3 linked regions of the Saccharomyces cerevisiae S288C genome follow. The gene in region 2 interacts genetically with the main gene of each other region. Each region holds a gene or a part of one and is shown on either strand. Other genes may lie near its edges.

What was found.
Region 1: mutations in SLI1 (region 2) and AIF1 together harm fitness more than expected from each alone (negative genetic interaction), as found in Saccharomyces cerevisiae (one large-scale study listed by BioGRID).
Region 3: mutations in SLI1 (region 2) and YFL064C together harm fitness more than expected from each alone (negative genetic interaction), as found in Saccharomyces cerevisiae (one large-scale study listed by BioGRID).

Annotation. Positions count from the first base shown.
Region 1 is NC_001146.8:776,986-780,744, forward strand, and holds AIF1 (Aif1p), read right to left. Parts: upstream 1,754-3,759; coding exon 617-1,753; downstream 1-616. Other genes in the region: COS10 (Cos10p), read left to right, coding at 2,931-3,759. UniProt on the Saccharomyces cerevisiae protein: Putative FAD-dependent oxidoreductase involved in the resistance to cercosporin and other singlet oxygen-generating photosensitizers. Translocates from mitochondria to the nucleus under apoptotic conditions, where it degrades DNA and induces apoptosis.
Region 2 is NC_001139.9:914,932-918,690, reverse strand, and holds SLI1 (N-acetyltransferase), read right to left. Parts: upstream 1,652-3,759; coding exon 245-1,651; downstream 1-244. Other genes in the region: RTA1 (Rta1p), read left to right, coding at 1-179; zinc finger-containing protein ZPR1, read right to left, coding at 1,990-3,450. UniProt on the Saccharomyces cerevisiae protein: Confers resistance to the sphingolipid biosynthesis inhibitor drug myriocin (ISP-1). Inactivates ISP-1 by converting it into N-acetyl-myriocin. Cooperates with YPK1 in mediating resistance to myriocin.
Region 3 is NC_001138.5:2,694-5,877, forward strand, and holds YFL064C (uncharacterized protein), read right to left. Parts: upstream 1,154-3,184; coding exon 629-1,153; downstream 1-628. Other genes in the region: YFL065C (uncharacterized protein), read right to left, coding at 337-645.

The sequences.
Region 1 (3,759 bases), on a different chromosome or scaffold from region 2:
TGGTAGTGGCAAGCAAAGTATACTGAAGTTGGCAAGCAACACGTAGCCTCTGCATATATCGGCCTTTCTCGGAATGAAATAATCAAAAAAATATTATGCGGGAAGCCGCTGTTTTATTGAGCATTCTAATGCTTTCTTTTTCCCAGCACCTAAACCACACAATACTTTACTCCAGTTCCGTATTTGCCCCTCCCATGGCATCACGCCTATACCTTAACTGTTAATTCTCACCGTCCCCATTATACTAGGTTTAAAAAAGAAGGTGGTCAATCCTGTTGATATCTGTATCTCTATATAACAAAACTTCGGTATAAAACATTCACACTTCGAGTAAAATCAGTACCTATCTTCATGGACCCTCCAAAATGTCAAATTGTTATCAAGCGATTGATAACTCTAATGCACAGGTGTAATACCGTTTTACTACTGTCAAAGAAACTACATATAGTGTGAGAATCCAAAGCTAACATTTTCGAGTAACTTCGGGTTTTAATAGATTATTATCTGAATGCGAAGTTCAACATTTGTTGTTTCCAGCGGCCTTCTTTGTTTCACAATACAGAAACTAATATATATATATATATATATATATATACGCTGCAGTTCATATTTTAGTCTATTTTTTGAATAAAGGTTCCATTTTGTCGGAGAAAAGATTCTTCGACTTTGCTCTAGAAATTAAAAACGATGGAATATTAATCGTCCCAAGTAACGGTAGTGGAAATTGGCCAAACCCTGCATTTGGCCCAAGGGAGACACCACTTGGGGCATGTCCTGTCTCAAGACAATCTGCATCAACGAGACTAGCCTCTGTTCCTTCTTGTAAAGAACTTATAACATTTCGGGTCAAAACATCAACCCAATTATCTCTTTTAACCAATCCGTGATATCTAAAATTCGTTACATCACCAATGGCAAAAACGTTTCCTGCCTCAACAGCTTTTACCCTGAAGTTTTTTTCAACTTGAATGAACCCTTTCTTGTCACAAAGGTCTGAAATACTGTTGACCGGCACATTTGGAGAAATACCAACGCCTCTGTAAATCAAATCAGCATCTATATATTTAGATGAGCCCTCACCTAGAAAAATACGTTTCGGCGAGGTGTCTAAAGAAGCCCCTACTGTGTTCAAGTACAACGTAATACCATTTTTTGAGAGATAGTCTGTCACATTTTTTCTTAGGGTATCGTTGTATAACCCAGAGTCCGGCAGTAGCTTATCGGAATTATGAATAATGGAAATACGCTTTTTGCCAGACCTGATCTCCTCCAAATACTTGAATAACAATTCACCAGCTAGTTCACAATTAACAAAGCCACCGCCAAGAAAAAGTATGTGATCTGCATCTGAGATTCGAGAAGCCTCTCTTTCAAAATACTCTTTATAGTTATCCCCGAAGGTATAAGTTGAACCAATTGGATCAGCCCACTTTGAGCCAGTTGCAAGAACCAAGATATCAAACTTTATGGCCCTGTCTGACCCCAAAACTACCTCCTTATCATCAAAGCTGGCAGCCGTATCTTTGATAACTTCAATACCACTATCAAGAACATTTTTTAACGGCAGGATCGACTTGGTATAATCCTTTGAAACCGTCAAACGGACAGCTGAGGGTAGAAAATACACATAATTAGATGCTGTGACGAGCTTTATTGCGTATGTCCCACCCAGTTCCCTGTACAAGTGATTTGCCACAGACACACCAAACACACCAGCACCAACAACAACTATGTTCTTTGTGTTAATTGTCATATATTTTGCAATTTCTTTCTTCCTTTCTCTGCTCTTTCCTGTAAATAATGAAGAACAACGATGAGGAAATGTGTGTCTATCAATGATTTATCACTGCTTTCGTTTCTAGTCTGCAGCAGCTAATATATTAATACTTATAATAGGCTTCATTTGTCCAGCCAGATAAAAAGGACTAATCATGCAGGGTGGACATTCAATTAATTTTTATCGCTTTTTAACGATTACTAATCCAGTATTACCAACTACAATCACTCAGTCATGTATCACTAATAACGAAAAGTAAGCTGTACAATGCTCATCTTCCTAGCACTACTAGTACTGCTACTATGAGACACCATTGAAGTCTTCTTCAAGACCCCCATTATGAGAACACTTGGCTCACTATACAATCGGCGGGAGATGGGTTGTTATTATAGAGAGTTTCAGGAAAAGCACTCCTAGATTCTAGTCAAGTACTGCCTATTGTATAAGAGACGAGGGCACGAGATAGCGCAGTATTTTATGATGAAAATATGAAAATAAATACTTAACTCATTGAGTAAGCTTAGCTGGGCAACTTAACTAACAGTCAAAAAAAAAAAAAAAAAAAAAAAACAAGAGCCAGCAAACTGACATTAACATTGATCAATAAAATAAGAAAAAATGTACCAGAGAATTCGATTATGAACTGATGACAATATCATTAAAGACTTTGCACAGTATTCAAAAACTAATCGAGAGCTTTGACCAAAAAGTGTCCCGACTTTATAATGAGACCGCCGCTTAATTCATAGGAGTTATATGGTATGCTTTGGAAAGCTATTACATTGTTTGATAATTCAAAAATAAGCCACAATACTTCACCTATTGTGTACCATGTATTATAAAACATCGCAGCTCGTATCTGTAAACATACATTGACTTACATTTTAGTGATAACTTGGGTACTTGAGTGAAGTCCATTTCTCCCGTGCTTCCGGAACATAAACCAACATAGATTCTCTTTCACTCGAAACTGCTCGAAGCTGTTGCTCTTTTTTTGATCGTGGCTTTAACTATAAAACTCAACAGCTGCGTGATGAACGCGCTGTCAACAAATTTCATCTTGCGAATTATATAAAAAACACTGCGAGTGATTAAACCTCAGTAAACTTGTTACGTACCTCATAACATTAATGTGAAATACACTATATTGAATATGGGGGAAGAGATTAGACTTTTGTCCTCTAAAGGTCTTGAGACCCATAGTAGCTTTTGTTTGCCCGAGGATATTTTCAGAAACCGTTTAACATGGTTGTGCAGTGAGATTCGCAACTCAGGATTTTGGATCTGGTCGCTATCATGGTTACCGCTTGCCGTTTGGTGGGGGATGGCCAGTACTTGGTTTTATCCCCTTCTGACTTCAGTAGTTCTAATCCTGGCGCTAATTGCTATTTTGCCAGTAGTTCAAATACAGTACAGTAAATATACTTTATCAAATCAACTCACCCAGCTTTCTAAAGAAATCATCAAAAGTGCACCAGGTGCATACTCTGCTGATTGGGACGCTGTTGCAATACATTTCAATTCCTACTTGTATGAAAACAAAGCATGGAAAACTGCACATTTTTTTTTTAATGGTACTGACTGCCAAGAAGCATTCAGGAAAACCATTCTAGAGCCAGCTGTTTTGAGGAGACAAAACGAAGATCCTAGGTTCAGTTCAATTGAGATTTTGGTCCCTTACACCGAAGACGCGGTGCAGGTTTATTTTACAAAAGTAAACGCACAGTGGAGGTTGATCCATGGTAAGAAGGAATGCAAACTTACTATGTTGGAAAATGTCAAGCTTCCTAAGGAAACCTATCGCTGCAAGCTAGCATGGAGTTGCCAGAGAATCAGGATTTCTTTCTCTCCACTAGACTTCCTTCCTGATATGTCTGACTTCTTTATTTGTGCAAATTTATCACCAGCATGCTTGGTATCTTATTGGCTAATAGACATTTTCTTTAGAATGATAGATGATTTTCAAAACATAAGGCCTAAAT
Region 2 (3,759 bases):
ATGGTTTACCAATGTTTTTACTCGTATTAATTTTTATTGTGGCGTTCCCACTAATTAACATTTTTAGAATACATGAAGAGTCTATTCAAGCGCAACAATCAGCAAGATTTGACGGCACCGACTATCCTGACGTTGAGGTGACGTCTATCGAAGAAGATCTCGCTTCAAAGAGCGAATAAACTGCTTTCTATATTTACATGTGGGAAATGTGGTTTTATTCTGTATTTGAGCTAGTGAAGTGCTGCTAGTATAAATTTAAGTAATCTTTCATATATTGCCAGTGGGGTTCTAGCACTTTAGTGAGAGTATTTGGATAACTGATACAACAATGTAGTCCGTTACCAGGAGTAGAGATTACGCTTAGTGAGAAAATTGAAGATATTCCTTGCGGCTCGTTGAATGTAGCATCCACTATATAAAACGGTAAACTGGTGTTGCATGCATCTTTAAATGTTTGAAATCCTAAGTTTGTTACTTCAAATGTGGAAGAAGGTCCGTTATTCAAGCTAATTTTATCTTCTATGTATTGTTGAGAAGAAATAACCTCCAATAACTTTACTTCGTTTACTTTATCTATTATTTTATCCTCGGAACTGCTTCTTATGGCCCTTTGAATTTGAGAAGCGATATCCCATATTCCACGGTTTTGATGTAGTTTATGGTTGAATTCTATGACCGCAATAAAATTTCCCACGGCGAGCTTATCATCTGAAGGTAATTTCAAGACTCGTTCAAAAGGCTTTCTAATATTCATTGGTAATTCAATTTTCAAAAATGATCCGGTATACTCATGTGCAGCTATTTTTTCGAAACTGGTGCAGACCAGGGCACCTAAAAGGGAAGTCAACGAAGTATTATTGGCCTTGCATTCTTGTAAAATGTCGTTGAGATGGGTCGGCGATAATCGAAACTCCCATTGATGGTTCGTGTTTTTAACTTTGTATTTTTGAGTTCCATCGCTCGGTTTATCATCCAGCAGGTCTTTTGGAAATGAGTAGTTGGCAAATTGGATTAAATTTCTATTGTTTTTTACGACTGTTTGTGGAAACCAATAATGTAGTCTACTGACCAATTGTCGCACTATATGCCAATTCCAAGGTATGGGCCAATCTCCGTATAGTGGGGCTGACATTATTTTTTCAGTTGATGAATTTAATGATGGTGAATATATTGTTTCATCAATTTCAACCGGCTGTTGCATCTGTAGGCCTTCCATAAACGTTTCCCACACATGAATAGCGGACATCCCATCCATGAGAACATGATCTGTCAGCAATAGCATTTGATTTTGATTAGGGAGGATCAGAATTTTCCATAAAGGTTTATTCTCGTTGTATGAAAAGTTATACCTTTGAAAGATGTGGTTAATTTCGGTTTCCCCTAACTGGTCCCAATCGTGGCGGTATTCTACTAGATCGCAAAATTTCAGTGGCTCAAGAATGTTTTGTAGGAAGTTTTCCTTTTTCAATTCATCATAGAATACATTACAAGTCAAACGTTCATGTTGGATTACAGTATACTTAAGAGCCGCTATCAGTTGACTTTTTTTGGGCAATTCGTTGAGTTTGATTCCGACATAAAAACATGAATGCAAATTTAGTCTGCTTCTATGGAAAAAGTAACTTTCAATAGCAGAAAGTTTAAGATTCATTCTTGCGCTTTTTCCTTTTCGTAAAAATATCTGTAGATTGTTCGTTTTGACAGCATTTATAGTTGTCCTCTTTACCTCTGCTCCGCACAAGTTGAGTTAAAAGAAAGAATATAAAGCAAAAACCTAAAAAAAAAGATATGAAGCAGGAGCCAAAAAATGCTGTATTATCTATTTCAACTATTATACAAAAGTTTAAAAATATAGGTAAATCTTCAAGACTGCGCTATCTATTTGAATAAAAACGAATAAGTATTATCATATCAAATGAGTGCTTGTGTGGTTAGGATATATGTAAAGAGGAAGAGGAAAGGGGGAGGTGATACCGAGGCCAACGATCGTTACTCAACCTTGATATCGGACAATCCCAGGTCTTCATTTTGCTCTTTAGTTCTTTCATAATCTTCGATAGTCATGTTTGGATCCGGATCTGGGGCGTAGACATTTTGTATGTACGACCCGGCCAATGGATCTTCCATAATGACTGTGAACTTGACTTTCCCAGCGATGGCCTCCTTTAGCTTGGCAAAAAATTCTACCCAGCGGGCTTTCGTTGCTTCGTCCATGGAATCCGAAGTTTGAGTGAAAATACGGGATTCTAGTTCTTCGTAGACTTGTCTTAGTAAACCTTCCAAAGTGGTGAATCTACCACCCAATGTACCTTCTTGAATATCAAGATGTAATTCAGGAATTACCATACTACAGGTCTCAGATTTCAAAATATCACGGGACAAGTCAGCTGCATCGTCACAGTATAAAGTAATCCTTCTTCCTTTGTCAGGGATGGCACCACCGGTCTTCACCTCATTAGACTTATAACCACAATGATCGCAGACCGTCGACATGATAATGACTTCTTTAAAGTGTGGGATATTTACTGGCTTCATATGAGTTTCACACTCTTGGGTACACGATGGACAAGAAGCTCTGAATGTTTGCACCTCGTTGTTAAAGTTTTCGATGTCGGTGGCGTCTGACAAAAACTGTGGGTTTGCTGAGCCAACTTTGACAGATTCAGAAGGATTTCTTTCACGGTTGGCCAATTGTTTTAATTGTTCTTGGCGACGTTGCTCCAACTGGTCTCTAGTAATAATGCCAACTTGAACGTTTTGTTCGTCGGTTCTCACGTACTGGGTATGAGACCATTTGTGTTGAGGTTCACCGGGTTTGTATTCGATCCAGGAATTTCCCGCAGGATCATCCAAAATAAATGTAATCGGAATAGTGTTGGGTTCACAATTGATGTAGGATTTAACTTTCTGTATGAAGTCATCGATCTTCTTGTAAAGAGCTTCGTCTATAGATTTTCTCATTTCCTGGTCTTGCGACAGATCGTCGATCATCTCGGATAACAAACCTTCAACTGTCGTCAATTGACCTCTCTTAGCAGGAATCTCAATGTCTAGCTCGACAAACTTACAAGTGGCAGTTTCTGACTTAATAACTTGCCTGTTAAAATCTTCACGGCACTCCACTTTCAAAACGTAACGAGAGCCCTTCTCTTGAATTTGAGAAGCGGGTTGGATCTCACAGTTCTTAAACCCACAGTGAGGACAGTCGAATGACATAATAATTATTTCTCTGAAATAAGGGATGGAAGTCAGAAGAAGTCTGGTTGTACCGTTCTTTCCACAATTCATACAAAGAGACTCTATCTCTTGCACTGGATGGCCCATGGCGTCCTGTGCGCCGGTTAACTTGACGCCGTCATTAGCTTTGTTCTGTTCGGCTATGCTTTCATCTTCGACCTCTGCAGCAGCTTCTCCTACTGGTTTAAACAAATCTTCCTTTTGTTCGCTCATTATTTTCTATCCTATTTCTTAACGGTATAGGTATAATATGTATCTCTGTGTATATATGCGACTAGCTATTGCTAACGATGCGAACCTACCCGATAACGCTATGATTTCCTTTGCGTTGAACATCATAGCATTATAAATGTGCATCTCATCGCTGAAAAATTTTCGTCAACTATAAACTTTTAGGATATTCTAGCCCTGATGGGGCTAGAATATTCTAGAAAACTCCAGAGGGTTTCGGCACAATTTATTGTAGGGTTAGTAAGGGCTTTTTTATCAAGGTGAAAAATTCACTCGATGCCTTTTTTTTTT
Region 3 (3,184 bases), on a different chromosome or scaffold from region 2:
GAGGATATCGTTTGTACTCTTGGGCTCTCGGGGCCTTTTTCGCGTTACTCTTGAAATTTTTTGATCATGATCTGAACTCGCCGCCTCACCTGCCACTACGTCTTCCGCATTCCGAGTACTAGAGAATGAACAATGGTAGTCGCTTTCAAGGCCTAACCATTGAATCCAGCGCTCGGAAGTGAGTCCGTCAAGCGTCTTTAGTCGAGGCTCCGATGAACCGTTCTTGTTGTATCGTCGACGTATACGTTGCGCTGTAGCTCTGGATAACGGTAAGCGTATCACCGTAAGCTCGTCAATTATTTTTGAGAGCCGCGGTCATTTTGTTAGTATCTCTTCTCAACTTGGGCAGCACACACGCAAAACATCACCCAATCGGTCCTTTTTGTTCATCATATCGTTACATATCTGTGAAAAGTACTTTATCTCAATGGGTTTACGTGGGCATAGATCACGCTTCAGCCGCTCTGTGTCGACTTTCTTTTCGCCAGGTAAACTTGCTTGGTATGCAGAAAAAATCGATAGCTCATCTACGTGTAGTAACAAAAACATGTGGGGTGCCAAATTGTACCCATATTTCCTTATGGTGCTTTTCTGAAGACTCCTTACAATAGGTGCGCCAGAAACAAAGTCAGTGAAAGTACGCATCGTAGAGCTGTCGTTCGGCCTGGCACTCGCTATTTCGTGACAACGTTCCAGGACACGGAAAACTCAACTCATTATAGTATCCTCTGTTGAGGTAAAAAAGAGAAAGGGTATCGTAATCCTTTCTATTGAATTTCAAAGTATGCACTTGAAACAACGTGTAGACCATCAAGTTGATTTTCTTGGGAATAAGATACTTTGAAGGGATTGGTCCGCCCTGGAAATCTGGTTCGTCTTCAACAAATGTCAGGAACTTTTGTACATTTTTCCCGACCATGACGGAAATGACAATTTTTTCAAAAGACCTTTTCCTATTCATTGCACCAGTTCTGAATTTTACCACTTTGATTAGGCCAGACTTTTCGTCTTCGTAGAATGACCGCACTTCCGTGGGGATCGATTCAAATAAAGTTATTGAGGGACAATGTACCAAGTCGTTTTTGTTATTTAGAGCCGACTCAAACTCGTCAAAGTTTGCTTTTTCAAACTTACGCCTATCGGAAACTTTCATTTTATTTTTGTAAGTTTCGAAATTAACAATAGTATGTTGATTGTTATGCTTTTTGACAAGAAATCCATCAATATAAACAAAAGATTGTCCAGTTTCCGTCTTATCATCATCTAAGAATGTAATAATTAAGCTATTGAGAAGATGCAGAATCTGCGCTATGCAGGTGCAAATCTCCAGCAGCAGCAAAGAAAATTCAGTTAATAAGAAATCTCACTAAGATAAGCGACTGTCTGTCCCCTTCAAGCACAACATAGAAAACAGAAGGATGTCTCATTCATCGCTTGATTTCCGGCCTGCAAAAATAAAGTAGTCGGTACGCACTTTCGTTTTCAATTTCCATGGTGCACAGTATCTTAACTATCTGCTTAGTCGAGGAGAACCAGGATTCGTGGATATTCTCTTGGATACTTCAAACATGGACCTACGCTTAGCCTGCGCTTAGCCTACAACTTCTTCCGCTCTCGAAAAGACCAATATAATAGAAAGTTATAAATTACATTTCCTTATTAGGTATACGACCTCGCGCTTCGAAGTAGAGGAGCCCTTTTTGGCGTACCTACATATGGCGCGTCAGACAGACAAACTTCCCCCAAAAATGTATTACCCCGCCGAATAAGAAAACAGACCCATTCACCCACGACGTATCAAGTTACTTCCTTGGTGCAATGTCCCACTATAAAAAAATTCCTTGACGCTAGATCGTTGGACTAAAATCTGCGTCCCAATCGCCTAAACAGGAAATATTGCCTATTTTCGTACAAGGTTACTTCCTAGATGCTATATGTCCCTACGGCCTTGTCTAACACCATCCAGCATGCAATACAGTGACATATATATACCCACACACCCACACACACCACACCCACACACCCACACCCACACACCACACCCACACCACACCCACACACCACACCCACACCACACCACACCCACACCACACCCACCACACCCACACCCACACACCACACCCACACCCTAATACTACCTCAACCCTACCCTAATCCAACCCTTCCATCCTGTCTCTCAACTTACCCTCCATTACCCTGCCTCCCCACTCGTTACCCTGCCTCCCCACCACCAACCCACAAATCCACCATAACAGTTACCCTCCAATTACCCATATCCAACCTCACTGCCACTTACCCTGCCATTACCCTACCATCCACCATGTCCTACTCACTGTACTGTTGTTCTACCCTCCATATTGAAACGTTAACAAATGATCGTAAACAATGCACACATACTTACCCTGCCAATACCCTACCATGCCCCATCTGTCATACTCACCATCACTTGTATACTGATACGGCATACGCACACGGATGCTACAATAGTATATACTATCTCAACTTACCCTACTTTCACATTCCACTCCATGGCCCATCTCTCACTTCATGAGTACAAATGCACCCACATCATTATGCACGGCACTTGCCTCAGCGGTCTATACCCTGTGCCATTTACGCATAACTCCCACTATTATCCACATTTTAATATTTATATCTTATTCCGCGGCCCCAAATATTGTATAAATGCCCTTAATACATACGTTATACCTCTTTTTCACCGTATACTAACCACTCAATTTATATACACTTATGCCAATATTACAAAAAAATCACCACTAAAATCACCTAAACATAAAAATATTCTATCCTTCAACAATAATACATAAACACACTCAATTGCGTATCAATACCACCATGAGGTCATTAACTTAAATGTTCCTTAATACCGTCATACCACTATGCTCTATTCCATATATTGTAATATAACTGTACTCTATAGTCATACAGACGCTTTTACTTCACCCTATCTTCTCATACTATTGTCATAGAATCGCACACTGACGCATGATTAAAACGAATAATTTTTACTATAAGGCCTCCCATCCGTGCTCTATCCTTTTGTTTGAAACATTTATATACAGAATCTCAAAGCAAGCGGGAGAAGTAGTAATTACCCAGAGGTCATGCATGATCTTAGCACCACCGTACCTCTAAGTTTTGCTTTGAGCCTTTTTACAGTGAC